4 linked regions of the Drosophila melanogaster genome follow. The protein of the gene in region 2 interacts with the protein of the main gene of each other region in a pairwise test. Each region holds a gene or a part of one and is shown on either strand. Other genes may lie near its edges.

The links.
Region 1: the proteins of CG15152 (region 2) and nmd interact in a two-hybrid assay, tested with the Drosophila melanogaster proteins (one large-scale study listed by BioGRID).
Region 3: the proteins of CG15152 (region 2) and Ns3 interact in a two-hybrid assay, tested with the Drosophila melanogaster proteins (one large-scale study listed by BioGRID).
Region 4: the proteins of CG15152 (region 2) and CG14086 interact in a two-hybrid assay, tested with the Drosophila melanogaster proteins (one large-scale study listed by BioGRID).

Annotation. Positions count from the first base shown.
Region 1 is NT_033779.5:10,300,156-10,307,291, forward strand, and holds nmd (no mitochondrial derivative), read right to left. Parts: upstream 3,793-7,136; 5' UTR 3,682-3,792; coding exon 3,500-3,681; intron 3,444-3,499; coding exon 2,516-3,443; 3' UTR 2,018-2,515; downstream 1-2,017. Other genes in the region: CG13138 (uncharacterized protein), read right to left, coding at 67-1,704, 1,789-1,800; CG5390 (uncharacterized protein), read right to left, coding at 4,007-4,614, 4,672-4,927, 4,994-5,350; CG4968 (uncharacterized protein), read left to right, coding at 6,890-6,964, 7,039-7,136.
Region 2 is NT_033779.5:18,111,038-18,116,738, reverse strand, and holds CG15152 (uncharacterized protein), read right to left. Parts: upstream 2,193-5,701; 5' UTR 2,057-2,192; coding exon 1,718-2,056; 3' UTR 1,519-1,717; downstream 1-1,518. Other genes in the region: CG44476 (uncharacterized protein), read left to right, coding at 3,604-3,608, 3,669-3,897.
Region 3 is NC_004354.4:1,459,882-1,467,446, forward strand, and holds Ns3 (nucleostemin 3), read right to left. Parts: upstream 4,340-7,565; 5' UTR 4,235-4,339; coding exon 4,133-4,234; intron 4,059-4,132; coding exon 2,765-4,058; intron 2,698-2,764; coding exon 2,492-2,697; intron 2,432-2,491; coding exon 2,213-2,431; 3' UTR 1,963-2,212; downstream 1-1,962. Other genes in the region: Lrpprc2 (Leucine-rich pentatricopeptide repeat containing 2), read right to left, coding at 1-677; CG14787 (uncharacterized protein), read right to left, coding at 982-1,764; O-fut2 (O-fucosyltransferase 2), read right to left, coding at 4,626-6,098. UniProt on the Drosophila melanogaster protein: GTPase required for the nuclear export of the 60S ribosomal subunit. Probably acts by mediating the release of Nmd3 from the 60S ribosomal subunit after export into the cytoplasm.
Region 4 is NT_037436.4:19,272,902-19,282,451, reverse strand, and holds CG14086 (uncharacterized protein), read right to left. Parts: upstream 6,662-9,550; 5' UTR 5,860-6,661; coding exon 5,733-5,859; intron 3,524-5,732; coding exon 3,463-3,523; intron 3,413-3,462; coding exon 3,338-3,412; intron 3,068-3,337; coding exon 2,819-3,067; intron 2,755-2,818; coding exon 2,628-2,754; 3' UTR 2,533-2,627; downstream 1-2,532. Other genes in the region: CG14089 (uncharacterized protein), read left to right, coding at 1,652-2,326; CG14085 (uncharacterized protein), read right to left, coding at 8,518-9,242, 9,303-9,550.

The sequences.
Region 1 (7,136 bases), 7.8 Mb from region 2:
AAAGTCTGTCAGGTATATAATAATTCTCTGAATAGGATTATTTACGCTAAACATTTGATTAGATTATCACTTTTGAGCACCTTCTGCTGAAGCGGATTGGATTGGCAGTTCCACATGTATAGGACTTTGAAAGGCCATTGGTTGGAGTTGTACAAACTGAAATGGTATGGAGAATGGCATACCGCGATAGGCATTAGCCGATTCCTGTGGACTTAGGTCTACGTTGGAGCTATTGACAAAGTCTGGAGCAGAGTTGGCGGTCTCCAAATCCTTTCCCGTGATATTGAAAGGAGTAGGGGGACCGACGAGTTTCAGGGAAACCCCATCCCGTCCAGGAGAAGTCGATTCAATGCTAGTTTTGGGTACGTATTCCTGGTTATACTGCGAATCAAAACTACTTTTTGTTACGTAATCGTGCTTAAATTGAGGATCAATACTACTTTTCGTCACGTAATCGTGCTTAAATTGAGGATCAATACTACTTTTCGTCACGTAATCGTGCTTAAATTGAGGATCAATACTACTTTTCGTCACGTACTCGTTTTTAAACTGCTGATCGAGATTAGTTTTCGTTGCGTAATCGTGCTTTAACTGTGTGGGCACGGAGCTTTGATAGTCCTCCATCCTCGGAGGATGATCCAATTCCCTAGATTTGTATATCCTGTTGTAGTAGTTTGAGGATGGTAGGCTGGATGGTTCGTGTTCTCTGGGCGGTGGATGATCCATTTCCATGTTAAATTTGAACTCCTCGCCGCGTGGATAACTTTCGTAGAGTGATGATGACTCGAACTTATATGGCTCGCTGGAACGAATGTAAACGGGAACCTTTCGTTCTACCTCAACCTTATAGGGCACTGGTACCTTCTTCTCGAGATGAACTGGCACCTTTATTTCGACCGGATACGGAACAGTCCGGAGCACTGGATACGGTTTCGGTACGTGGACTATTTTCTCAATTATCTTTTCGACCACATATGGTTTGGGCACTTGGACTGGCTTTGGGATGTGAATCACCTTTTCCACTATCTTTTCGATAGGCACGTGCACTATTTTCTCAACTGTAACATTCACCAGCTTGGGCACATGTACGATCTTCTCGACAATTTTCTCAATGGGCACATGGACGACCTTTTCCACGGGATACGGTTGTGGTACTGTTTTGATCAGCTCCTTTATGTGGTTGTGATGATGGTGGTGATGATGATGCTTGATTTTCACCTTCATCCGCTTCGCATCCTTCTTACTCGAGTGCTCGACATGTTCGTGCAGAATCGCTTGTGTTCCGACCTGTTCGGATGCCTGGTATTGACCATCGTCCTCATCGATATGCTCGTGGATCTCTTCGAATGTATGATAATGCCTACTTTCCGTACTCTCATCCGCATAATTGGGACTCACATTTTTTCTTCGAGCACCAGATGGCTTATATTTCAGTTTATTCCTCGTCATTTTATCGCCTTGCTTTTGATAGTTTTTCACACCGCGTTTCAAAGTCACATTGCGTTCGGTTTCCCGATTATAATGTTGCAGATCCAGCTTTTCCGATCTTCTTCCGGTATTGTGAGTAGATCCTTTTCCGTATTCAGGATAGCTCCACTCGGCACTTTCGACACTATTGGTTTTATTCACAGCATAGGAATTACTGTGTGCAGTACTTCCAATAATTATTAAGGTTATGAATAGGTATCCAGGAATCAAAGTTAACTGAAATAGAAAGGATGCGCGTAAATGAAGTATGTACATACAAAATATCTCCTATCAAAAAGACAAATTGGAAATATAGCTTACCATTGGGTTCATTTTTTGTTAAGTATATAGTCTCGCTTGGATTTGAAGTGGTTTAATCAACGCCTTCAACAGAAATGATTTGAGCCAATCGAAGAAAGTATTTATATGAGCACGAAACATAATTAAAATGTGCAGAAGCAAATTTCTTCGCTTGAAGTTTGTACACTCTATATTTTTCTTAAATTAAGAAATTATACAAAAACATCAAGAACTAATTTGTTTTGGTTTGATTATTTAAAATGTATGCATGTTTTTATTCATTTTTAATTAGATATACAAATGTGTAGCTTTGAAATGCCGTCAGAAATAAACGACCTTTTTAAAAGAGAATAAAACTGCACAAGTTTACTTATATTTTTTTTTACGATTGAAAGCCCACGGTCGCGTGACGCAAGTTGTGTGTGTGTTTGAAGAAGTGTACAAGTGCAATATCTTTATAAATGTTTGAAATTTCTCTAGGTGAATATTTCACAGAAGCCCGTAAATGTAATAATTAAAGTGCATTGAGCTCCGCTTTACGGAAATGCTATGGATTGTGTAATTTCCTGCAGTATCCGTTGCTGTTTTCAAGACTACCAAAACTACGTTTTCCGGATACCCATTTTGGAATGCAGAGAACAGGGTTAATTAACACATAACATTGGAGCTCCTCTCGAAAGGCAAATAAAAAGTTTATTATACAAATTTAAGTTGGATATATCGGGAGCTTGAATAAACAATGGTCAGCTTAATCTAATTCGATTCTATTCTCTAAGAATAGGCTGCTCGTGTGCATCTTTGATTCCTTAATTTTTAAGTGCGAGCCCAGCAAATCGTCCATGGTGATGCGGACGTTGTTGCGATCAAGCGCTGTAGCTGACGGATCTCTGGACGTGATGAGCTGCCTCATTCGGTAAACTGAAGCATTCCGGCACATTTCCCGCAGGTCTGAGCCCGAGAAGCCATTTGTGAGCTTGGACAAGCGATTCAAGTCGACATCCTGACTTACTTCCTCCGATTGGAGGATCAGCTTCAGGATGTCTTTTCGTTGGGTCTCCGAGGGCAGACCAATGTGGAATTGGGCTGGCATGCGGCGCACAATGGCCTTGTCTAAATCCTGCGGCCTGTTCGTGGCACCCATCACAATCACCGTCGAGTTGGCGTTCGTGCTGAGGCCATCCCACAGCATCATAAACTGGGTCTTCATCATGGCGGTAGCCTCGTGGTCGTTCATGTTTCGAGATCGCAAAAATGAGTCTATTTCGTCAATAAAAATAATGCATGGCTCGATTCGCGATGCAAGCGAGAAGACAGCAGAAGTCAATTTCTGGGATTCCCCGTACCACTTGTCGGTAAGAATGGCGACGTCCAAGTTGATAAAGCGCATTCCCGCCTCTTTTGCCGTCGCCTTCGCTATCAGCGTCTTTCCACAGCCCGGTGGTCCATGGAGCAGGACGCCTTTGGGCGCCTGCCACAGCTTCGAATGCTTGAAGAGATCCTTGTGCTGGATTGGCAGCACCACCGATTCCCGGAGCTCCTGAATGACTGAATCCAGACCGGCGATATCGGCCCAACTGACTGTTATGTCGGCGGGAACAACAAGATGTGACGCAATCATAAGCTCGTAGTCGCTAAACTCTTGCCCTCTTAGCTTGAAGCCCTCCTGCTCGGCTAGCCTGCATGGAAAAGGTTTACACATGTACAATATATGCTATATGAGTCTAATATAAACCTCTTAAGCTGCTCCTCAGCCAGAACTTTGGCCTTTTTCTTGTTTTTACTGGTCGGATCCATCTGGTTCATCATCCATTTCACCGAATAATATGTGATCAGCGAGGCCACAGACAGGCGAACCAGTACCTGGAATATCTGCCCCTTGCTTAGATCCGATCCGCCCAGTCCGAAGTTGTCCATGTTTCTGCAGATATTCTATTTAGAGCAAATACGTTGGCCTGCACGAATCTAATCTTTCTTGTTCTTATTCCCCATGCACACCGACGACAGTGTGACCAGGTGCTCCGACTGAAATTGACATCGATAAGCTCAAAATTGCTGCCAACTGAATTCAATTTTTGTTAGCCTATTCCTTTTCCACTGTTCCGAAAATATTTTTTCAGCTTAAAATAAAAAGATTTTTTTTTTTTTTAATTTTGAGTATTAACATATTGGGCATATATTAAGTGAGAGCATTGTGAAGCATGAAGATTAAAACCCACAAATTCAAGTGACAATTTTGCTCTTAGGGTGTATAGTGCCTGGGGTCAATACTCCAAATCTTCAACTTGGCGTCGATCCACGGACGAAGCTTGGCCACGCTGGCGTACACTCCGGGAATGTTCACCTCGCCGCATCCGATGCCCCAGGCAACAATGCCGGCGGACTTGAAGCGGTTCTTCTGGCCAGCAATTGGACACACCAGTGGGGAGCCACCATCACCCTTGCAGGTGTCCTTGTCCTTCTCACCGCCGGCGCAAATGAAGCTGTCGTGCAGAATGAAATGCCTGCCGAGTCGAGTTTCGCGCAGATTCGTCTCGCACTGCTGCTCGGGCACCACGGGCATGTCGACCTTCTTCAGGATAACCTGATATTCCCCATCCTTGCCGAACTTGTTCTTGCCCCAGCCGGTGGCATAGCAGCGATCGAAATCGAATTTATCACCCACATTGGGCAGGCAAACGGTCTGAATGTTCTCCTGGAGGGTGAATGGACTTTCCAACAGCATGACAGCCACATCGTTATAGAGCGATCCCTTGTTGAACTGCTCATGGTAGATTATTTCCTTGACATATCGGTCTTCGTGCCTTCTGATCTCAGTCTGCGTTTGCGTATCCCATTCGCCAGCTCTCACTAAATGCCAGTTCATAATTAGATCTCATAGATGGCATAGATGGCATGTACACTTACCAACAATGCTACTGGGCTGTTTGTTGTGAACGCAATGCGCCGCGGTCAGAACCACATTGGGAGCTATCAATGCTCCTCCACATTCGTACAGGTTAAGGTTGCCTTCTTCCCGGAGAATGGCCAGCATCCAGGGGAATTCGCCGAATTCGGCCTCCTGGTTGACAGCTCCAGTGATCTTAAAGCCAACGCCGTTGGGATTTTGGTAACCGCAGCCCTCGGGATGATCAGGCTTAAACTCGAAAATCGGATCTTTTCTCTTAACAAATAAAATTATAGTTTAATTTAAGTAATCAAAGCTTATTGGTATTTATGTATGTGTTACCTTGTTGGGCAGATCACAGCAAAGATCCAAATAGTTCTTGCATTCGGCGTCCGTACCAAGTCGAATGTCAATGATACCATCGCCACTGGTGTTAATCGTATCATTGGCGCACAACCAGCGAGGAACACACTCCTTTTGATCGCCACAGGACTGGTACTGCGTTGAACTCGATCCTCCGTTTTCGGATCCCGTGCTACCGGACGAATCCTTGGGGTTCACCACTGGCGGGGGAGGGGATGATGGTTTGGGTGTTTCGTCCGTTTTAAAGATGTCCGATATCAATTTGTCCAAGGAAGAGTCCTGGGCACCACAGGAAAATATGCACAGGCATATTACTAGGCAATTTAGTAATATCATATTCCTGGAAAGCAAAATTAAATCATGCTCTTTACATATTTACATAATTAAGGTCAGAAAGCTCACTTATTCGAGGAAAGAGATGAAGATGAAGGTAAGCAAAGTGAGTAAAGCTCGAGTATTGGTAATATAATAATGATTGTTATTGCTGGAATATCGCACTTAAACCGGATAAAAGGTGAATGTGATTCCCCCAAAACAGAGTGACACATTTTAATGGAAGGGAGACGCGGATACGAATACGTTTATGTTTATGCGGCGAACAATTAACCTAATTAACTCTAGAATGTATTGTCTTATCAGTGAGGCTTTGCTTTCTTTTTTGAATACTAAAATTCCGAGCAAATATATACATATGTACGTATTGTTTCTTTTAGATCGCCTCATTATCAATCCTGATTGCTTTTTTGTTTAAATATGACTTTTGGCGATAAGAAATGCTAATGTATTGCGGTGGGTCAATTTTCGCTGTCAATAAAAACAAAGCATGTATAATTACTTTAAAACACAAAAATAGTTTCTTATGTGTAAGCGCAATCCCTCCATTTTTCGCAAGAGTTAATAATAAGTTATAACACACTAATTAATTGCCATTTACACACAAAGGTTCACCATTTTTGCTAACAATATGTTCCTTGCAAATAAAATAGGGCAAAAACTGGTTTTAGTTTCGAGTAAACTTAGCATTATACAATTCTTCTTCATTAACATATATAAATGTATTCCCATTGCCGCTGATTTGTGCTCATAAAAGTACGTGAGGCGGTGATATTTTGTACACTTTATTCATTGAACTTTAAGATCTTTTTGATTGATTAAAATATGTATATACACATGTACATACATATATGGATGAAAAATGTATTGTAGATGTTACAAGACATAGAAACCACCAAAAAGATTAAACTCTATCAGATATCCACATAACTGAACTACACATTTTCAATAAATTGAATTTGAGTCCAATTTTATTTAGTATAAAGTGTACTCTATTAGTAAGACTTACTTAATTTATCAAAGTAGCGCAACGTTCGCTGAGCAATGAAGAAAACACTCAACTGAATTGATTTCTTATTCAATCTTAAGTCTCAGCCGATGATCTTCTGACGAGAAGCTTTGAAAGCTGGTTCCAATTGAAGTTCCCAGCTTACGTATTACACAGCGGAAAACCAGTTCAAAGTTTTATTTTATTTTATAAATTTATAGATAATAAACATACACAAATTATGTACGTATATTTGTTATTAAAAACCGTTTTAATGGTTTAGCGTGTTTGTAAAATGCGATTTCAAATATTTATTTATTTTTATTCTCGAGCCAAGGAACAACTGGAATTGAAGCCCGATAACGATAGCTGTGCGACAAAATCGAAAGCATCAGTGTGTCCGTGAGTTTCGCCTCTAGACCTGTGTGTGTGACATTTGATGCGCCTACACATACATATGATGAACAGGAATTCTTTTTAGTTCATCAAATGAATACAAAGTAAAGTAAATTGAAAGGAAGCGCCGATCGCAGTTGTTCAGTATTCAGAGAAACATGGAGCCGTTTACCCATAATGATGGCAATCGCGACGAACTAATAATTCAGCAGAAACGGGATATTGAAAAAGAGGTGAGTCTGCAGAAACACTTACACACAATAGCGACAATGAACCGAGAAATAATGCCGAATTTCAATAATTGCAGATCAGCGACACAACTCCCTTGGTCAGCGAGCAGTTGCCACTCACCTGCTTGTATGCGGAATACAGTGGCGACGAGATCTTCACCGCCAAGATCCAGGA
Region 2 (5,701 bases):
TATGTACAATATTGAGCCAGCAGGCAATCGAGCAATAAATCAATGCAAAATAATGCATGTGCATATCGAACGTTTTTCTTGTTTTGGCTCAAGGTTGTATTGTTGTTTATCACAAAACGGTTTAAGCACCGCTTTGCGGCACCTTTAGTTAAAACGTTTTTCCTTATTCTACTGCATACTTAGTCGCTACATTCAAAAATGTATTGAAGGCAGTTTCGAATTAAGATTTAAGATATGGCGGGCTTAATTACAAATATAGCCACATTTGTTTGATTCTTTTGCTCAATGCTAGAAATTACTTTATTTGTATGCATGTAGTGCCATAAATCCGATAAATATTCAGTTGTATGTATTTAAACGACATTTCCTTGATATTAAAATGTTATATCTGCTACTGCTTTTTATTTGTGAAATCATTTCCAACCCGGTTTTTTGCTCCATGGCATTACAAAGTGTCCGCGGGGCGGTTTCGGCGCCGTGGCATCCGGTGGTCGGCGACCGGAAATGGCATTAATGCCTAAGCTCGACGCCCTTTGCGCCATTATAATTAAATGCGCTGGCGACTTCTGCACTCCGTCTGAAAAGTGCACCCTGCAAATAATTAGCACGGCTCGGAATCCTGTGAGTAATTAAGGTAAGTCAGCTGTTGCCTCCGTCTCGAGTGGGGCCAAAAAACGGAAAGAGCAAAAAGTGTCGTCCATTGTCAACGGAAATTAAAGTTTAATGGGACAACGTTTTTTTTTTTTAGAATTTCCAAGTGAGAAATAAGCTTGTCCGGCTGTTTTTACGCTGACCAAATGTTCGTAACATTTCAAGCTATTAAACTAGAATTTTACCAACTTGATGGCACACACAAGTGAGAAAACTGTTGTAAAAACATGGAAAATTCTGAGGGAGTCGGAGTTTTTCCAGCAGTGGCATGTGAAAAGCAATTACAGAAGTGATTTAGAAAAATGCAAATGTGAAAATATTTAGAGAACTATTTCCATTGGGAACTGGCATAGTTGAAAATTCGTTGTATTTTTTCTTTTTCAAGTGAGAGTGGAAATAATTTTAATAATTTTGTGTGCCAAACACCGGCGCAGATGCGGTTTGTGACACTTCCTTTAATAAACAACAGCGTTAAATAATTGAATTTCCACTCTCCATCGCTAAGCCGCTATTAATGAATTTTTAATTAGCGTGCTTAATTTAATTAGTTAATTGATAAGGGAATCTTTTTTATGTACTTTGCTTTGTTAATCTCTGTGATGTATGGAGCTTTAATGTGTCACTACAACATTTGTCCTTTATACATCGACAAACAAAATGCGTATTTATTTTGCAGTTAAATGGCTTGAATTCGTGATTCTTTCGTTCACTTTTGTTTGCTTATCTCACACAAAGCCCTTTATCTGGCCACCTTGTTTCGCTCTCTAGATTACGTTCATTTATGGGCCGTAAATAATTAGTTAATTGAACCGGAATTATCGGAAAACGTTAAAAGCACTGTCTAGTCAAAAATAAAACACATGGATTATGGGATTTCTTTCTTTACTTTGAACTTATATTAAATCATGATTTTTTGTTCTTAGCGCCTAATCAGTAAAGCCGCTTCCTTTTTAGTTAAGCTTTGCATTTGCTAGCAGAACACAGTTCGATTGCCACTGTTTGAAAACAGAACGTAGCTCGTAAGTGCGATAACGCTCTAAATTAGTCACGACACGTACATATTATTTCACCGCACTTTTATAGACTGCACCTCCAGCCAAATCATCACAGCGGCTATAGCCACATATATAGCCACGATCATGAAGATCTGCAGGGGACTGGCGGTGAAAACTTGGACCACCAGCATCACGGTTCCCAGAATAAACACCCCGGACAGGAAGCTGACCATCAGTATGGTGGACCAGTTGCGAAACCAGGCGTGCTTTTTATCCGGCGGCGGTACAAAAATCGGTTTCAGCGGGCTGTACTCCTTCTTATACTGAGTCTCGTATCCGCTGGTAAAGTCAACCTCATCGTGGTACGTCCCCGGACCCGAGGTTCCAGCCTTAGTCTCATCCGTGTCCATTTCAAAACGCGTTCTGCTCTCGACTAAAGAGCGATTCGCTGGTCTCCGGGCATTTTCAGCGGTTTTTTCCTTCCCTCTTTTTCATGATTACCAATCAGTTTGGGGTCTGGGTTATTATCGCCACGGCAGAAGGTGGTAATTGAGGCAACAACAAGGCAAACAGTGAACCGTCAAGAGCTGACAATCTTCTTTTTGTTGCTTGTGACTCAGATAAGATAACTATATAAGTCTGAGAAAACCCGTCAAACGAGAGCGGAGAAGAGTCTCAAAATGACAAGAAAATCACATTGAAGTAAGAGATTGCGAAGAGAGATCAATTTGTTCTACGTTATCAATTTATGCTTACTTACGAATCATCAAACCCTATCAACTTTGATAACAATCTATTAAAAGCGATAAATGTTTTACATTCATATATTAGGCATTTCAGTACTTATATACTTCTGGCACTCTGTTTCCGTCTTGAGAGATTCTCTTTTTTGTCAGTTTCCCCGCTTTCAGCTATCTGAAGCTCCTTCTTCAGTTCCGTCGCCGGCTTTAAAGGCTCCTTCTTGCCTTGCCTAACCAAGCGACATTGAGGGCTTTCTTCGCCGTGTTTCGTTCTTTTCGACAAACAGCAGTGCTTTGCGGATCATTTAGCTTGAACAACCCACAATGCCACCAATTTCAGCGTATTTTTTACCTTTAGAGATCATGTTTTTAATCAAATTTCTTTTTTCGACGGTAAAATGCTTGCCGCGACCCATGACTAGAGAACTTTTGGTCTTCGTTTGGAAAAAATTCAATTAAAACCTTTAATACAACTCCTTTTTCAAAATTTGTCGAAAAAAACCCAAAGCAATCACTCTATTATTCAGCAAATACGTGGTCAGTGCTATTTTTGTTACCGCCTCATTTCGCGCACTTTTGCAGCAAGTGCCCAAAAACAAAAAGAACCTTTACATTGAGAGACCATAAATTTCTTGCTCAGAGAGCCAACATATGGTACTTATTATTCATGCAATCTGACTTTAAAAAATATAAACATTTAATAATTATTTTTAGGAAATGAACTTTCCACCTCCAGTAGTGCTATTATTTTAACCGCAGCTGTATATATTTCCGTCTTGAGAGGTTCTCTTTAATGTTGTCTCTTAGTTTCAGTCAAATTCTCTGAAAGCTTTGGTTTTTACTTACAAATACCCTTTCTAGGGTTCTTATGGTGAGTTTACTCCTCTCAGAAATTTTCTTAAATAATTATTTTATTAGTTCATATTTTTTCTTACACTAATTTTAGTTATTTATCTAATGAATGTACTTGTGATCTCAGACTTACTTTACAGATACCTCTTATATAGTTTTACTTAGGACGGTAGTCCCTTAAAAATTTGTCAATATATTATCATTTTTAATGGTGCAAGCTGCATACGATCCGAAAGATTTTAGTACAGTGTGCCTCCGTTCTTGAATTCGATTCCCTTGAATATTTTTTCATGTTTGCAGATGAGTGCCTTCATCCAGTTTATACAGAGCCTTCAAGCTGAAAAGATCAGAGTGCCTCCAAAAAAATGGGGTATAATACTTATTTGAAAGTATTTCAAAAGCATTAAAGTGATAATTTGTTTATTTAAAGTGAAGAAAAAGATGTCTTATTGGATAGAGATAGTTGCACCCTCAACGGAGTGGACCAAGAACAAACCGATGCGATTCATAACGACTCTAATATGGAAATATTAACTGAGGAAGACTCAAGGCCATATACTTTTTTGCAAAACTTTAATTTCGTTGGCTTATGTGTTCTTTATAATTTTTGCATGCTTTTAATTGTTCTGTCCATATACATCTACAAACGATGGAATTAAAAAAGGGATTTTAAAATGATTTTGAGTACGTATCAAGCGCTAGTTAATTTGATTGCATTATGTATCCTGCTTAGCTGGGCTAACTTGTTTGCATTAGAAGAAAATGAAAGCTGCCTTCTGTCCTAAATGTACTTAAACTTCAGTCCACTTTATTGCCACCAAACAATTTAAGTTGTTGACAAAGTCATCAGCATGCATCAGTCAGCGGTTTTTAAAGAAAGTGCAGAGTCGGCGGAAAAAAATATGAGAAAACTCGCAGTTGCCTCTGTGGCATTTTTAGTTCCTTCAGCGCATCAACAAAACTTGTACATCTTGCTCGATGATCTACTCCGGATCTTGTTTACCGATTGTGCAACAATGTGTTCACTTTTAAATAATATCGAAAATCAGACTGTCTACTGTTTGTGTTTTTTTAATGGGAGATTGTTACTTTTATTTTTCGAAAGGTACACTAAATTCACTTTATCATTTCGATGCATTCGAATTAGGCAATTACTTACCCAGTGTGAACTTTTCATATCAACCCGGCTTATAGATAACCCCCTCGAGTTTGGCCCAGTTCTTCGCACCTTGGCCAGGGCTCATTATTCAAAGCTAAGACTCAGATTAAATGGAAAGCGATAGAATGACTGGCGGAGTGAAAAATGCTAAGAAAGAATCAAAAATTCATGAGGCGGTGCGCGCGAATTATAGCGACTTACTTGATGGTTTAAAGGCGCCCTTGCCGCGGCTATTCAGCTTTTTAGCTTGCCTGTTTTGCCCGCCAACATGCGTTTGTTGTTGCAAACTTTTTCCATCAAAAGTTTCGGTTTTCGATACGCCTGCTGCTGGCAGCTACCGATCCCCATTACCCATTCCTTATTCCCCGCTCCCATTTTCCATCCCCCCATCCATTCTGAAATTCCGCTCCAGCTTCAACTGGGAAAAGTGCCACTTCCGCTTTGCGTCAGTGCACACGGCTGCCGAGCACAAAAGTGTGACTGAAGTGGCTGAAACCAGCTCGATTTTCCCAGCCCATTTCCCGCCCACTTTGGTGGCGGCTGCCGAGGCTCAGGTGTTAATTAACTTGGGGGCCGGCACTAAATTTTAAAACTGCAACTTGCCCAAAATTAATGAGACTGACGTTTGTGCGAGTTACGAGCGAGCTGGAATTATAATTTCGGCATGGCGGACAAACTGCAGAGCAGGCTAACTTTCAAGTGGTCGGCAAGGATGCCCGGAGATCATGAATATTCATCAGGACGAGACGCAGCGTCCAATGTTAAGCCGTAAGCTATTGGTTGTTTCTGTCTGTTATACACGTGCTTAATAACATCTAAGCCTCTGTAAGCTATATTGAATCAGGTAGTTAATACGGATAGTAATATTTATAGAACAATGAACATTTGAAATCCACCCCAGCACCCCGTACTCGCAAAGTAAAGGGATATAGTAGATTCGTTCGCTGCACAGTTTGTAACAGGTAAGTGTCTTATGCATATTCATCAGGATCTTTTCCGTGTCTATCTGTTCGGTTCATCTGTCCGTTTTAGCGCTTTAATTTTGGGAACTGTAAAAGTACGAAAGTCCAGGTAGGCAGGCTTTTCAGAAGATTGCCACGCCCACTCTAACAACCATAATTGTCACGCCCACACACAAAATAATCTCGACAATCGTAGATCCGGCTTATCAGTTAATCTTGTTAGCCGAATGTAAAATGCATATTCAATTTTGGCATATATAATTCCATTTCAAGTGCTTCTCATGTTTGCCTGCGTGTTTGATTAATGAAGCCCCCAAGTTAATTACGCAACTGTTTGAAATT
Region 3 (7,565 bases), on a different chromosome or scaffold from region 2:
TCGCGCATCTCCGACAAAATCTCGGTGGCCATGCGCATGTTTCCGGCGGCGCCGGCCACGTCCAAAAGAGCGCCGTACAAGGTGGAATCGGCTGCTCCATGGTAGACGGCAATCTCCGCCAGCAACGAGCGATAGTCAGTCAGAGGCAAACGGTTCTGGCGCAGCACCTGGAGCTTCGTGTGGTAATGTGCCAGCGTGGGCTGGCCCAACTTGATCAGTTGAGCCCAGAGTCCCTTGAAGAGCTGAAGACGCTCCTGGCTGCTCTGAGCAGGAAGCAGTTCGGGCACACAGGACCCTAGAAGGAAGTGCACCTCTTCGATGCCGACTCCTAGCGGCGACGCAGACTCCTGCAGGAGCTCCAGCAGGCGCTGGCAGTGCTCAAAGTTGATCAGATCGTGCTGCCGGTAGTACGCCTCCAGCTGTGTCCACGCATCCGCCACGCTGGCTTTCGGTTTTTCAGAGGAGGAGGCGGGGCGCCGGCTTCTTCGCTCCACCGCACTGAGGACGCCACCCGTTCCCAGGGATCGCATCTGGAGCAGCGAGAACGGCACCGCTGGCGCCGCAGGCTTCGTTGCATAACGGAATGCCAGGCTGGCGGAGGAAGCGCTGCGTCCTGGCAGATGGCCCAAGCGCTGCCTGCAGAGCCACACGTTCCGCAACAGTCGTGCTCGCTGCATTTTGCCCAAGTTAATTAATCTTCCCCAAAATTACGAGATTTTACTTTCGCAGTTTTGCGGCGAGCAACAAAAAAAAAACAACACGCGCCGGCAATCAGCTGTGCCTTCCAGTCGAAAGATATCGAAAACAGTGCTGCCCATCTGTATATGCATACCCGTTTCCGTTGCAGATTTTGATTTAAAGTTTAAGTTAAGTCATGGAGCTCCAATGAAAGGAATGAAAAGAAATACCATGGGGACATGTCATTATTTTATAATCGCTATTTATTTACTTAATCGATTCAACGGATCTGGAAGCGCAACCCTACAGCGAGGATCTGGCCAAGCGGCGTCGCTGCGCAGCCAGCGGAGTGCCCTCCTCGCGCAATTCGGCCAAGAGGGAGTCCTGCCAGGGACGAAACAGGAGGCGCTTTGTCGCCAACAGGGAGGCGGAAGGCAAGCGCAAGTATTGGTCGACGCGGTGCCAAAACTCCTGCGGCTCTCGCACCACACTGGCCACAAGGCCACACTGGAGGGCAATGCTGGAGCTCGCTTGATCGCCCAGACGAAGCAGCCAGTGGACGTGTGGCACAGTCCAGCCGGGACCCACCTTGGTGCAGGGATCCAGGTGCGAGAAAGCGGGCACAAAGGCAGATAACTCCGTTGCGAAGACCAGATCGCACAGGCTGCACACGCTCAGGCCCAGACCGACGCACTGCCTCTCCACAAAAGCCACTAGGAGTTTGCGGTGCACAAGCAGCTTCTTGGCCAGCGAGCGCATCACAAAATTGGCCGCCTTCTCATGGATGTACTGCTCCTCGGCATCACCACTGCCCACAGCTTCTTCGTGGGAAGCGGTACGCCTACTCCTATTCTCCAGACCCTGTTTGAGAGCCAACGGTTCCATCTCACCGCCACATGCTGCAGAAAACTCGCCCGAGAGCACGACCACCTTAACGGCGGCGTCTGCACTCGCCAGGTCCAGGGCGCGCATCAGCTCGTAGAGGGTTCGGCGTTGCCAGCGCCGCTGGAAGCGTATGTGGAGCAGCCCAGAACGCTGTTCGACGACCAGCTCCCTGAAGTGCTTGCAGCTCTCGTTTGTGGCCATCGCTGAAGACTGCGTGATAGAGACTGTGGCCAAGTGATAGAAGACAAGAGCCGTAAGCATCTGCGCTTATCACGCGGTCAAAGTGCAGGCTTCTTTTCTCCGCGCAACTGCGCTCCTCCGCATCTCGAAATTACCTTCCATTCACGCATCTCTTAAACTCAATTGGGGGCGCCATTCCAACAACAGTTTGCTTTCATTGGTGTGTATGCTAAATATATGCTATCTTTGTGTTAATCGTTGTGTCCAGGCTGGGCCATCAGATGGCTTATCTATGTTTCTCTCAATCTGCTAGTTGCGCAATATAACTCTTTCAGTCTGAGATTGTGGGCCTTCAAACTCTCGAAGTCGGGGGGACTTTAATATATATGTATATACGTAGGTTTAATGCTTAAAATGTACAAGTGCCTCTTAGACACACCCTTCGGAATAAATAACTAATGGGCTACAATCAGTGCTCGTCCAGGTGCGAGAACTTTTTGCGCAGCTTCTCGCGCCTCTCCTTCTTCACATGACGCCAGGGCTTGGCCGCCGGATCATTGCCGGCTACTAGGGACCCGTCGTTGGCCAGGCGCACGTTAGGGAAGTTAGTGCGTCCTTTGACGTGGGCGTGCGTAGGCTTGTCGGAGAAGAATTGGTTGTCTAGCTCCTTGGACGTGCTTTTGTTGATCTGCGGAAAACGCGATCAGTTAGCAAAGGAATCACGTCTAGTGCAAAGGGCAAATCTCACCCGCATGGCTCGCTGCTGTTGGCCGGGCAGCTGTGATTCCTCGATGACCCTGCGCTGGCGTTCGGGAAAGGTGTGATACTCGGTCTGCGGTACAGAGGGCGGGCTCATGGCGTAGAGCAGTCTGCCATTGACGTAGTCTTTAAGCACATACCTGGCGGAACGCGCCTGATCCGGCTGCCCGTTGGAGGTCATAAAACCGCGATTGTCTGGAAAAGAGCGAGAAAGAGTGCGTTGTGAAATACTGAAATGCGTGCGCAAAGCATTGGCACTTACATCCATAAGCCAGCAGCAGCTCCTCCGAATGCGGTGGCCTTTCCATGTCCTCGCCTTCCAGCGGCTTGGCTATCACAATACCGTATTTGTCTTCAAGGACGTGGCGCGGAATGCGCTCGCACAGCAAGTTGACGGCGGGAACGTGATCGCGCATTTGGTCAATGGGCAGGATGCCGTTGAGCAACATGTCCGCCTTGGTTAACACAAAACTCGGCATCACCAGACCGGGACAGTCGCAGAGCAGTATGTCCTTGTCCAGGAAAAGCGTCTGGAAGCGTTTAGTTTTGCCCGGCGTGGCCGAAACGGACACCTTCTTCACTGTCATCAGCGAGTTGATGGTGCTACTTTTGCCAACGTTTGGGTAGCCGACCATTCCGACGGTCACGTGCTGCTCTGTGTGCCGGGGACCGGTGTAGATGTTTCGCAGGAACTCAATGAGCTCCAGGCGGGACAGCAGTCGGGGACTGTTCTTGTCCCCGGGCAATCGTGGCAGCTCATCGTTTTGAGTCTCGGGAATCGTCTTATATTTCTGCTCGATAACGTTCAAAGCGTCCTCCACGCTATCCAACGACTGTTTTATCTCCTCAACTGCTCTGCGCAGCTGTTGCACCTCGGGAAAGGAATCCAGGCACTCCTCCGCCTCCCGCTTCAACTCCTCCTCTACCAGCGTGGCCGAGTAGAAGGCCGTGCGAATACCCTCGCTGTCAAAGTACTCCGCCCAGTGGCGACGCTGTTCCTCAGTGAGCAGGTCCGACTTGTTTACCAGGATCATGTTCATCTTGCTAGGTTCCACCTCCTTTACGTAGCGCTCAAGGTCGGCGCTGCGGAACAGCAGCGGATTACGGGCGTCTACGATCTGCACAACGACGTCAGATCGCTCCACTACGCGCCACAGCTGCCGCCAGAACTCCAGGTTCTTCTCATACGGAGTCATCAAGATCTCCTCGTCCTCCTGCAGCAGCGCCAGGTCGCGGCGCCAGTCGAGAAATGCCTCGTTCTCGGCTCGCACTAGCTCCTCGGCGCTCGTCTCCTTGGTCCACTTGGGCCGCCGCGGGATCTTGAGCTGGTCACGGTGCTCGTCGTGCTTCTGGTGCATGCGCTGCTCCTGCGTCTTGCTCAGCAGTCCAACGCGCTGCTTGGGGTTCACGAACGTGATGTTCAGCTTCTCGGCCTGGAACTCAGTGCCGGCCAGCTCAGCCGTGCGCAGGAAGGCCTGGAACGACGACTCCTCAGTGACAGAGGACAGGTTGAGGCGGCCCCAGTCGTAGCCATCCTGCAGCTCGGTGGTGTGCAGCTGGTAAGGATCGAAACCGTGTTCACAGTGTAAGATCGAATGCATATGTATGTATTTTCTACGAGTGCTCTTACCATCGTGTCGTTGTCCACCTTGCGGCGCTGAGTGTGTCCGAAACGATCCTTGATCAACTGGCGGCCCAGGTTGGGGGCGCCGCCCTTGTTCTTTTTGCCCATGGCGCAGTCACTATATTCGCAAATCCACAGAAGAAATAATTATTTTGATTGTCAAAAACACGTGCAATGTTTGCCCGAAATGCTATCGAGGTCTATCGTGAAATCGATATGGCGAGATTCGATTCCTGTCGTCAATCGATATTTACAGGTCGAGTTTAAATTTCAATTTGCATTTTTTGGAATGTGGCAACGCTAAAGGAGCGGGTAAATTTAAACATTTACCCTCTGAACATTACACATTATAATTGACTTTTCTGCTAGCACTTTTCTGTTGGCTTTAGATTTATTTTTGGTACACAATCGCAGGTGGTTCGGAATCCCGTTTGCTCTCTTACGTTGGCTTTGGACTTAAAACTAGGTCTTGAGATGTCAGGTGGGAGCTACAGATGGATCAGTACGGGTCGGAATCTTCCTCGCTGTCGCTATCGCCATCCGCCCACACAATGGGCCACACGGCGTTGCGCGAGCAGCTGCCGCCTAAGGCCTTGCAGAACGTGTTAAAGGTGCTGGCCTGGGTAAAGCCGAGGATCTCGCGCTCCTCGTAGATGCGGTACGTGAAGGTGCTCTCGTAGGTGCCCACAAAGTAGCGGGCGTAGGCGCAGACCAGCTGGTCCACCACCGCCACGCCCCCATCCTTCAGCTCCCTTCGTTGGACATTCGACTCCGGCGCGAAGTGCACGAGGCGGAAGCGGTAGAAGAGCTCCTTTAGTTCCATCAGCTCGTATGGCGTGGCGTCAGTGGCCAGGAACACTGTGGTCATGTTAAACCCGCGCAGCAGCTGCTTGACCTGCTGGGCAGCCGCCTTCAGGGTGGGAGTGGTCGCATCCCGCGAGCGAACAAAGTCGCCCCGCCTTAGGTGGGCGCAGAGGTAATCGCCGCCCTTGGCGTTGCGCTTCGGCCGCTCCAGCTCCCACATGGCGGGCCGTTGGACACCGGCCGAAGCATCTGTGGTGTCCAGGGCCTGCCGTCGGAAGTCGGCGGCCACCTGTTCGAGCCGACGGGCGAAACGCATGGAACGCCGGGCCTGCCAAAAGTGCTCGTCGCCCCAGTGGTCGTGAAGCACCGTTTCGGCGCTGAGCAAAGCGTACGTGCGCATGTCGTCGACGTCCTCCGGTCCCGCCGTGTCCTCGTCGATCGCCTCGCGAAGCAACTTCTCCAGCAGTCCGGCGCTGCCCTGGAACCGAACGCAGTGGAAACGCCCCACGCGCAGCTCCGCCTGCTGCAGCAATGGTCCTCCCGACAGGGATCCCTCGCTGCACGGCTTGTCCGTGACGCGCTCGAACTTGTCCCGAAATATGCCCTGTTCTAGCATGACCTCGTAGTGCTGCAACCGGAAAGCGTGCCCTACATGGACCAGCGGTGCGCCAGGATTGCCGAATAAGCGCTGTTCGGCCAGGAATTCCTCGTAGTCCAGAACGGGCGCGTAGCGACGCAGACTGGCCAAGTCGAAGAAGTGGCTCCAGGGCAGTCCAGATTGCTGCAGGCCCTGCGAGTGCCAGTGGTAGAGGCGGGGCCACGGCGGCAGCACAAGGCGCACATGGCGAAAGCGCCTTCTCCTCTGCAGCCGGCGCACGAACACCGCCATGCGAATATAGACGTCTCGGCGCAGGTTGAAGCCCTCGGAGATGTTTACGTCGTAAAGGATATACACGGCGCCCCTCATCCCGAGCACCTCAGGCGGACAAGTCGCTGGCAGTGGCAGGATCTCCTGCAGGAACCCTTTGACGCAGGTGCCGCTGCTTCCCCGGGAATCGCCAATTTCCCGCTTTGCAGTCCCATTCCGGACGGCGGCATCCGAGCCGGTCAGCAGATGGAGGAGCAGGAGCAGCGCCGGGAACCCAAGCCTGGGCCAGCTCCCTCGCATTTTTGGTTTGGAATGGAGTGGCTGTGGCGGCGGTCAGTAAAAAACCCTAACGCATTTGGTATTTTACACGGGAATAAAACAAAGAAAAACATATGACTTTGATTTCTAACAACGGACAATCCACTCTTTCCAATATTTTAGCAGCTGTACAGATAAAACCTATAATTTTTTTTATAAAAAAAGGCCTATAGAAAACCCATGTACATTACGGGAGTGATACACCATAACTTTGCAAAAAAAAACCACACAGCCAAAAAACTTACAGTTTTGTGCAGCTTACGATCCCAACTAACGACCCATATCACTTTCCTGCTGATTTTGAAAAATTTATTTTTTTCCAAAATTTTGCAATTTCGATAAGGGATAACATCAAGAAATTTTGCGAAAAATGTAAAAAAATTTTCATTTCCAGCCTGGAACGCCATTCGATTGCAATTTTTATTGCGAGTGCAACGAGGTATGGCACTTAATGATGGGGCTGTTATTTACGTTGTGGTGAACAAAAAACTGGCAGAAAACCAGGATATCAGTAATAGTGTTCTTATCAAAAAATCCGCATTCTCATAAGGTTGTTGCCGAGCTCGAATGCAAATCGATGTCTATTTGCACTATTATTCCCAACGATTTCCATATAGCACCTGCTTGAATGGGTCTTTAAAAAAGCGTATGTAAAAAGCTGCGCGAAAGCTTCGCTCGCTAATCTCGAACAGCTGAGTGTGCAAAACATTTCGTATTGGCGTTCTGGCGTTTTGGGGCCGTCTGGATGCCTCACTCAGTCAGATACGAGATACGGAAGCCCAGCGAACGGAGGAGGGCGTGAGATGCGGACGCCGTGCGTGACCACAGTACAAACTAGATTACATTAAGTTAGACTAGCTAATCCCAAGCTGAACCCAGGCCCCTTTCCCGCCGTCTGGACCCCTCTACCCCGTCCGGAACGCTCTACGAAAGCAAGTAACTAACTAACACACCACTCACCGGGCAGCAACAACAGAAACGAAGATGGAGGGGCGACGGGCGGCACGATCTGCTCGGTCACGCTCTCGTTTACGAGCGACGTAAGGTGTTTGCGTAGTGACTGGCGCGGGAGAGCCAAACGTGCCGTTATTCTTCATTCATCAATGGCGAGCCTCCCCCTCGTGCACCCGAACCCACACGCCTGTCTCGTTACGTAAAGTCCTTGCAAAAAAAACTTCCACTCTCGTTGCGTGAGAGGAAATCCAGGAGCTGATTGAGGGTCACTGGGATGCTTCGTACAGAGTTCACTACTCGACCAAATTCGTAGAATGAATTTCGTAATTCGGGAATGTTTTTCCCCCCGCCATATATACATAAATACTCAGTCTCGTGCCTGTCAAGATCCCAATGTGCCCAATGTGCACCCCTCCCTTTTGTGAGCGGCATGCACATGGTGTTGGTGCCGCTCGCTCGGCTGAGGGTCAAGATCGCCGCAAAGAAATGCTCGCG
Region 4 (9,550 bases), on a different chromosome or scaffold from region 2:
GGTTTGTTTGTCATGCGAAAGCGATTGCCAGTTGGATCGGGCTATTAAGATTGTGTATCTGCCAGATAATGTATCATGATGATTTAAATGAATCAGTTTTGTGAAAAGATTAATTGCCATTAATCACAGTTCTGAATATGAGCTTAGCACCATTTTAATACTTTTTGTTCGGTAAAAGCAGATCCGTTCGAGCACAGAGACCATGTCAAAAGTTAACTATAACTAACCACCATCCACTATCTAGTCAACTCGAGTTTACTTTTGCTACCTTTTGACTATTCGCAGTCAAAAAGGATATTCTCCAATCCGATGATATTTGTAGCCCGATCGGAAAAACCCCTTTTAGCCATCAGACACAGCAGACAAGCCTTAACTTTTGTTTCTCTTAATTGTTGATATTCTTCTAATGTTTGATTTTTTATATGCTTTAATTTTAATTTAAACGATTTGAATATTTTCTATGTATATGTTGATGCGTAATATATCTATCGTAATATTATATAAATATATATACAAAATAAAATAAACATAAACTTTAGTTATTCCTTTTCGGTTGATTCTTTCAATTATCTATGTATTGTCTGAATAATAATGAATACAATTTGAGCTCTTCTTATCCACAACAGAACCTTAAATAGCCTATATCAGGGATATAAACAAGCGAATAGCTACTTATAACAATTAATTGCAAACGCAGCTACCTCAACGTTTTCCGACCGAAAACACGAATAAGAGAGAATAATAGTTAAACAAAGTAAATTTATAATTAAAGAAACTATTTAATATGTTTATTGCATAGCAAACATGTGTAAAACAAAAGCAAAACAACAAATAAAACGAACTTTAAAAGTTACAACTATTTACATACATATGTTAACAAAAACAGAAACTTCTCGAACATAACTAATGTCCACAAATCCAAATGACTTAGACTGAAGCGTGAGTATGCAAAAAGTGTTATGAGATCTGCCCAAAAACCAGAAATTTGTTGAGGTTTATGTGGGCGGGGCTCTTGTCATCATGAGTTCCACTTTACACTTACAAAAGAATAATAAAGAAGCCACAGTTAAATAAAATTGCGAACAGACATTCTTAGCATGTCTCGAAAGTGTTTTCTTTTGTGCTTCACAGGGACGGACAGGTGGTATCTCAGGTGTTAGCAAATTACACATTAGTTATTCAAAATGGTTAATGTTTCCGTTTAAATGTAAAAATCATCATCTCGGTCACCACCAGTCATTGCTCTGGTTCCATATGAAATTTGTGTAAAAGTTTATGTTATTTTTACGCGCAGAAATGATATACATATACCTGTTAATTGATCTATCCTAGAATACGAGAATTCACTTTTCATGGCTCGATCACAAAGTCCGACATCCATTTGGTGTGAAAGTTCTTTCATCAGCCCAAAAACTCAACTCATTCATTGAATATTATGCAAATCAGATACTTTATAAATAAATGGCTTGGTTTATTAAACAAGAGAAATTAGCATACGATACAAATATAATGCGATCGTAAGACAAGACATATAGATCTCAAATGAGCTATCTTAACGGGAGTTTGAATGATTCTCCTCTGTTGCCATTTTTCAAACGCATTTATCCACATAAAAGAAGTGACTGCGATCTGATTTTCGTTAGTTCACAGCATGTCGTCGAATCTGGAAGTTCTCTCTGCGAACTGGACTATTCTGCTGGTGGCACTACTGTCTGTTCTTGGGGGAGTTTTCGCCAAGGATGATGCCTCAGTGCCCCGGCTGATCACCCTCCAAACTGGAAGTCCCGCTCCAGCCCCGCCACAGGAAGTGATCATAGAGGAGGATCACGATCATCAACATTATCATCCGCCACACTATCCGCCAAGCTATTCGTATCCGTATCCTCAGCCACAGCCATGCGGTTGTCCGCCCGGTCCTCCAGGTCCACCTGGTCCACCGGGACAGCCGGGGCAGAAGGGCTATCCCGGCCCCAAAGGATCCAAGGGTGATCCCGGCGAGAAGGGGCCGCGTGGAGATAAGGGCCACCCCGGGATGCCTGGAATCCCTGGCCAACCTGGTCCTCAGGGTCCTCCTGGATATCCCGGAGGTTCATATCCACCGTATCCGTATCCTCCACCTCCTCCTCCTCCATCACATGGACATGGAGGCCCTAAAGGCCACCAGAGGCACTACTATAACTACTATGATGAGGACGAGTATGATTACGGCAATGAGCGTTCTTTTGGTCTGAGAAAAACCGAAGAATTCGACGACCAGCCCTTCATTTTGGCCTTTAGTGAACGCAGAAATCCGTTTAGCACAAAAAACAATAAAAGACGAAATTAAAATAACATTATTTAAAACGAAATAGCTTTGATAATTATTTCTGTAGGTAAAAAGCAGATACCCAATACTTAAAAGGAACTTTCAAAATTCTTTTGAAGAATGTCCTTTTTGACTTTTGAGTGGCTTCGTTTATAAATGACACCAAAAATCATACAAAGTGTGGGTTTATCGATTACCTATAAAAATATACCACGCACTCAGCGTTTAAATCGAAACCTCTTTACAAACTGTATATTATTAGACATTTGTTAAGTCGTTTAAAATCTCACATTACATTAGGCAGAAAAGCTGGCTTAAACTATTAGCAAACATCGTCGTCTAGGGCGGTGTGGTCGTCGCCCTCCTCCTCCGCTTCCTCATCCAATCCCGCTTGCGTGGCACCAATCTCCGCGAAATCATCCTCCATGGTATCCACAAAGCTCGACACCCTATCATCGCAGAACAAACAGACATTAGAAACAAATAACAAAGACATTCGTTGGCTGGCATCACTTTTCAAAGTCGCACTGCGGCAGGAGACCCTCCTCCTTCGAGGCGCTGAATCGGAGCAGCGTGCACAGTCTGAGGAGTCCGAGGAGTATCAGGAACATCCCGGCCACATAACTCAGCCACAGATTGTGGGGATACAGGATCAGGCAGATGCCGATGACCGCATAAACAGGAGTGGGTCGCCAACCGCCACAAATCGCTGAAAGTCGCCAGCAGGCCAAGCAGCTGCAGGACCTTCGCTGGTAATTATCCCTGAAACAAATTGAATTCACAAATATGTGAACAGAGAAAAATTTGCAGAGAAAAATCTGAGCAAAGGCACTTGATATAGAGTATTGTATATAATAGTAAAGTATATCATATTATAGTATAATTAGGGTTTAATTAGTTTTACAACTACTAGGCTTGGTAACTAGAATTTCTATATTTCATAAATAATAACTGCTAATTATCAAATAATATATATACGAATAACTATAATTTATGAACATGTTATTTGGTAATCTTGAATAGTTTTCTTACTCTGCGCACTGAAGTTGCAGGAAGATAGTCACAAGCCACTTGATCTCGATAAACATTACCAGCACGGCTGAAAAACTAACCAGAAATTAGTATAGTTATGGGGGATATTTAGATCCGTGACTTACACTATATAAAGACCGGCCCGATAGCCATGCATGTAGACATCAACGCCAACGCCGCAGATAACTGAAATGAAAAATGGCTAAAGAAAGGTTCGGTGCGGGGGGTCCTTTTTGGCGGGTTGAAACGAGGAGTGTTATCCTTGAACGAGCCTATAAAATAATGTGAGTGTGTCTAGGCAAATATATTTATAAGCATATTTATTGAGCTGGGCCTTTTTTGTTTACCATGCTTTGGCCATAAAATGTAATACAAAACCAATGAATGGAAACGAGGTGAGCTCAAGAAGTTTATCGCAATTTTACTGAAGCTTACATCATTTGCAATAGAGTATTTTAAGAAGGCAATGTCCTACACATTACGAAATAACATAATGATAATTAATAATAAATAGCTTGGAAGAAACTTCAATATTCATGACGAACTTAAATTTTATAACTTAAAAGGTTTCTATATTTTTGTCGAACAGCCCTCCGCAGGGCATTCATATTCTAACCACATTATGGTTCCGCTTCACATTTTGTCTTAGCCAAATCCACTTTGAGTGTATAAGATATGGTTAGATGTGGTTATGGAGCCACCACGCCCAGTGGTCCATAAAAATACAATCTAATTAAGTTGTTTTTATTATGCCGGGTCGCGAAAAACCAATCAGATTAGCCAGTTAGATATATGTATATGTATGCCCCATATTTAAGCACAACTGCAGAACCGAAACCAAACCAATTACATTAAATGCTGTCAACGGAGATAAAAATTGAAAAAGCGGAAATCGAAAAAACATGCAAAAATTATCTGGATAATTGAAAGCGGTGGGGGAAAAATAGATGCCGGGCAAGAGGAAAACTTGGCGAATGGCTGGCGCCTAAAGGCTAACAACACAGCTCATTGTCGACCGTATGGAAAAGTTGCTGATAAGGGGAAAATCGGGCTGGGAAAACTCTGCTCTTGGCACAGGATGCCAGTCGTGAGCTGCAAGCTGCAAGCTGCATAGAGGCCAATGCCTTGTTAATGGCTCTGCCAGAGAGTTTCCTTGGAAAACCCCATCCCTCTTACCCGATCCCTATAATGCGGAGCTTATGAACTACAGAGATTTTATACTTTGTTTTCCTGCGTGCCACTGCACCCATGATGGACCCCAAAACAATTTGCAAAGAAATTAGTTTGAACTTGACCCGAAGTTTTTGTTGGCCTGCCTGCAGCTGGGCGATTTATCAAATTCTGTATAAAAAAACGGCGGTGCACTATCTTAAGCGCATTAGGAAAATGTCAGATGGTGGAGGAAAATCGTTATGATTGGCCACGATAAGCGTTTAAGCCAACTTTGATAACTTCACCAGATGGCAGAAAAATTGGGATGAAAAAATGTGATTGCATTTTCGTAGATTAGAATGCGGATACAGGGTGAAAAAGTTACGTTGTGCAACCAAACTGAATTCATTTCAGAAAGGTAATATTATTATTTATTAAGTTTTTGCTTCACTTTACCTTGCCTGTTTAATAAATTAAATTTGACTTCGTAAATTGACAAACGAAATGCCATTAAATTTCAGGCTGTCAATCTAAAATTATTGCCTCAATTTAAACGGAAAAAATGTAACACAAAGCTGGGTTGTACAAAAAAAGCATAATTGAATTGTAATTAAATGACGCAAAAAAAGGGAAATTAATCTTCTACCAATTTACTCTCTGTGTTCTATTTAATTGTTAAGCTAAACTGGAATTTCAGTAGTATTGGATGGCATTTATTTATTTTACCAAATTACATTAGGTCAAATATCCTGTTCATTAGAGCACATATTCTGTGCTATATGTGCTCTGTGAATATGGAAAACCATTTCCTTTTATGTACATTTATTTTGCCAGTCTTCTCAAACAAATGCAAAACCTTTGTGTACAATGAAAATATTGCTCAAAGAGTAATATTATATGAATTGAAAGGAACAATAAAAGCAGCCAATAAGAGCGTGTCCCCATTCAGCATCGTCTTCGTCTTGCGAATCCCATTCAGTGCCAAGAAATATAATAAGCCACAGCACTCAACATATCCCGAGGCAATGGTTCCCATGCACAAGTATTTCCTACGATTTGTCAAGGGTAAACATTCCAAATAAGGGCCAGAAAAGCATTGCACATTCATACATAAATGCATGCACATGCACATGCATCATAGCCTCGTATCGAGATTGGCATTATCTCGAAACGGGGGTCACCTGGGCACCGGCACCGACAAGTCTTATTCCACTGGCTCGGATTTCCGCGCACTTGAGCTTACCGAATGAAGTCAGCAGACCAAAAACCCTTATCACAGGACGAAGGCACTCGCACGGCTCTGCGGACTGATTGCGGCGATGATGACGGGCGCGGCGAACGCGCTGCGATTGCAGTTGCATCTGGCTCATGGCTGACTTGGTTATATATATATATATATAGATATTTACTTTATGAATTTCTATCTATATTTGTTTTATGAATCGCCAAAAGTGCGGCTTTATTCTTAATATCTTATTTATTGGAGCTCAAGTTTTTCTTCTCCTTCGTTATTACTGATGACAAAAGTCGAAGCCATAGCATTTAAATTTTTGATTAATGTGTAAGCTCCACTTACTTAATTTCCAATTTATTTAATATATTTATTCGTTTTTAATTTCACTTTAGAACAATTTTAGTTTTTGGTTAAATTCAAATTTTCAATGTACTACTTTCTAATCCTCCATAACTTTAAATACTCTCATCCGAAACTGACGTTTTAGGTCCTGTCCAAGGGAATCGCTAATAAAACAATCAAAGAGCCGTATCCACATCACAAAAATGCACTACGTGCCTGGCATACTAAGTGGCCAAACAACTTTGCGATAAATATTTTCAATTCCAGCTCGCACAGCTTTTAAATTTCACCATTTAACTCGGGCACACACTGCGTATTCGTAATGTGACATTTTTCGCACCTCTCCTTCCATTGCCTTTAATCACCGCACCGTTTGCTTGTGTGTGTGTGTGTGTGTGTGTGTGGCAACTAATGTCTGCAAATTACCGTTACCATTTGCACTTTGCCCCCGCACGTTGTGTGCCCTCTATAATATATATTTTTTTTATTAAATATTTTTCTTATTGTTGTTGAAGGTTTGTAACTTTTTTTATTTTTGTCAAGTGCCACTTTGCCACACGACTTTATGGCCGAGCTCTAAACAACGAACGTCCGCACGCTTCCAGCGGCGCCAGCAGAATGAAACTGAATGAAAGGACCGGCCAGGATTCGTTTCTATTTTCGGAGTCAGGATCCAGAGTCGCCGCTCAGGCTGCTTTTCCCATTGCTTTTCCTACTGCCACTGACTTTGTAGCCAAATACCAGCCAATGGGGCGGCGCTGCATTCGAAACTGCTAAGTTGATTTGTTACGAGAACGAACGCGTAGTGTTTATTTCTTTTTAAATGCGTTTTTGCGATTTAATGCTGAGATTTATGGAGACCGCAAAATTTATCCATGTTGTTTTAAAGATGTTTTTAATTGGTTAGCTGTTTTTGACATCCACTATCATTTGTATTTGAAAACTTATTTGGCGTTGGCAGTATGAGAATTCTTTAAAACTATGCTCTTGAAATATATTAATTGAAAGCAAGAATATAGGGCTGATTTTTAACTAGAATAATGCTTTAATTTCAATCAGAAGTTATTTAACTTGGTTTTTTTTTAGTATTGTAGTAGGAATACAATTTTTGAATTACATTGTTAATATAATTAAGGAACTCAAATAAATAATTAATTTTCTTTTTGTCTTCAGTATTTTAATTAGAACTGTTTGTATGTTTTATCTCTTTTTTTTTGTAAAAAGTGTTTCCTCTCGCGATTTATTGTGTAGCGTAGCGCATTGGGTCAGTCTTTATAGTCCTGCGGTTTTTTACAAGAAGGCACCATGGGCGAGAGCTTAATATTGTGTGTGATTTAAATATATTCCCACCCGAATGCTTACTTGATTACGATTTTTCCAAATGTAAAAGAAGAGGGAAGTATGAAATTTACCTACGATTTTACACAACGAAAATCTTACTTATATGCACTTGATAAATATTCTACCAGGTGTAAAGATAATCTTTAACTATTACAAATATTGAAGTTTTAAGCCTAAAACAGGATTCTCGGCCCACTGCTCAAAGCCAGCTTGATTTTATTTGTCACGTTGTCCTGTGTGTGAAGCCAGTGCCTCATGTTGTTGCCACTGCTCAAGCGGCTCTGTGTGTGCGTGCCCTCGTCCTGCAGGTCCTGTGGATCCCCGCACCCGTCTTTGGCCACGTTTCAGTAATTTTCATAACTGGCTGAATGGTGAGCGGAGCGGCGGGAGGTGTAAAGAAGCTCAAAAGACAACCAGGAGCAAAGCTGAGCAATTGCCAAGAGGCGGACGAGTACGCAGAATGTGGACAAAAACATTTTCGGTTGCTACACCGCCCTCATCCTCATAAATTAAATGGGGGCCAAATTCAGGAGAGGGGAAGCACGAGTAAATATTTTTTTAGCTCCTCCGCTTATTGTCCTGTGCATTTGCTAAGGTGTCTGTCGTCAGGCTTGTTTGCATTATGCGGCGTTAATGACATCCAAAGTGGCAGCCGTCGCCCCAAGGAAAGTCTCCACTGTCGCCGCCATCTACGACATAATTCACAGATGCCCCACACTCTGAAAAGTTAATTTCCTTAAGGAACAGCTCGAGGATTCTAGCGAAATACTTCTGAAGGTCGTCCTTGATACCGCCTCCTGCAGTTGGAGTCGTTTGTCCAGGTCTTCTATGCTTGCAATTGGTCTTACACTGTACACAATGAAAAAAGTTGTAATTTGCAAAAACAAAATTTTACATTTATTGTAATGTTTGTTTGTTAGTTAATGTCTTTTAGATATGGTTAGAGTTAATTACTTTGTAGCCATTTAAAAAAGGCTTTTTATAATTTATTGATCCAATTTGGTGTCCTCCTCACTTTGATAGCTGTTCTAATTTTTCTCATTTGCATAGCGTCTGCATCACTATTCATTTTTTTAAGTGCATTCCGTCTTAATGACGCTTTCCGCGCCGCTCACTTGGGAAACTCCTTGCGCCGCTTCATTATCTTGGTAATCCCGGCCACCATGGCCACCTCGGGCAGTGACAGCTTGGCATCCTCCTGGAAATCGCAGCGTCTGTTTAAGTGCAGACAGGTCCGTTCCGGATTCAAGGACAGCGGCATCTGCAACCAACTGACGTAGTCGATTTTCAAAGAGCCTGTGAGCAGCTGGTCAAAGGGGGTGTTCCCAATGAAGAACATGGACCTCAGCACCGAGGTCTTGGCCTCCTTGATGTTCTGACCCTGTATGCCTTGGAAAGGACTGGGGTCATTGTCGCCAGTTCCCAGTTGCTCGAGCAGCCAGTCCTTGTTGAACTTCAAATAGTTGTATACCACTTTCAGGGCCTGTTTTCCGATATTTGTGGTCAAAACATCGCTGACCAGGACTTCGGCTATGTAATCAGCGATTCCCACATCCAGTTCCATGGCATAGTTGTTGGGTGGACTGTGGCTCAGGCGATCGGACTCCGCATTGGTCAGGGCCAAGTCGTCCATTTTGATGGTACTCACGGCACTCATTCCCCCAGCCCCTCGGTTATTGGACCCTGCAGTTCCACCAAAGTCCGTGTCCAAGTTGATACTCTCTTTGGCCTGTTTAAGAAACAGCTCGATCTGATCCGTATGCTTGTCATCCTCGTCAATGGAGCAGATGGCCTCCGATATGGAGTAACAGATGGCAGCCTTGTCCAGATCTTTAGCTAATCATAATAGGATGTAAATAAAAAAAATCAAGGAAGGTGTATGAAAAGTTTACATACCCTGCTCATACATCTCTGCTGTTTTGATCAATTCTGTATAGAGTGCAGCAAAAACCACCTGCAACAGCACTGAATCTCCCAACGGCCTGGTGGATACTGGAATGATGTCCTGCAGCAAGGAGGCAATTTTGTACAGCCCCTCGGGCAGGCAATCCCAGATCTCAGAGACACACGTTAGGGCCAAGGACATGGCCTGGTACATACTGGCTCCGTTCTCCACGGCATTCACCAACATATCCACCACACAA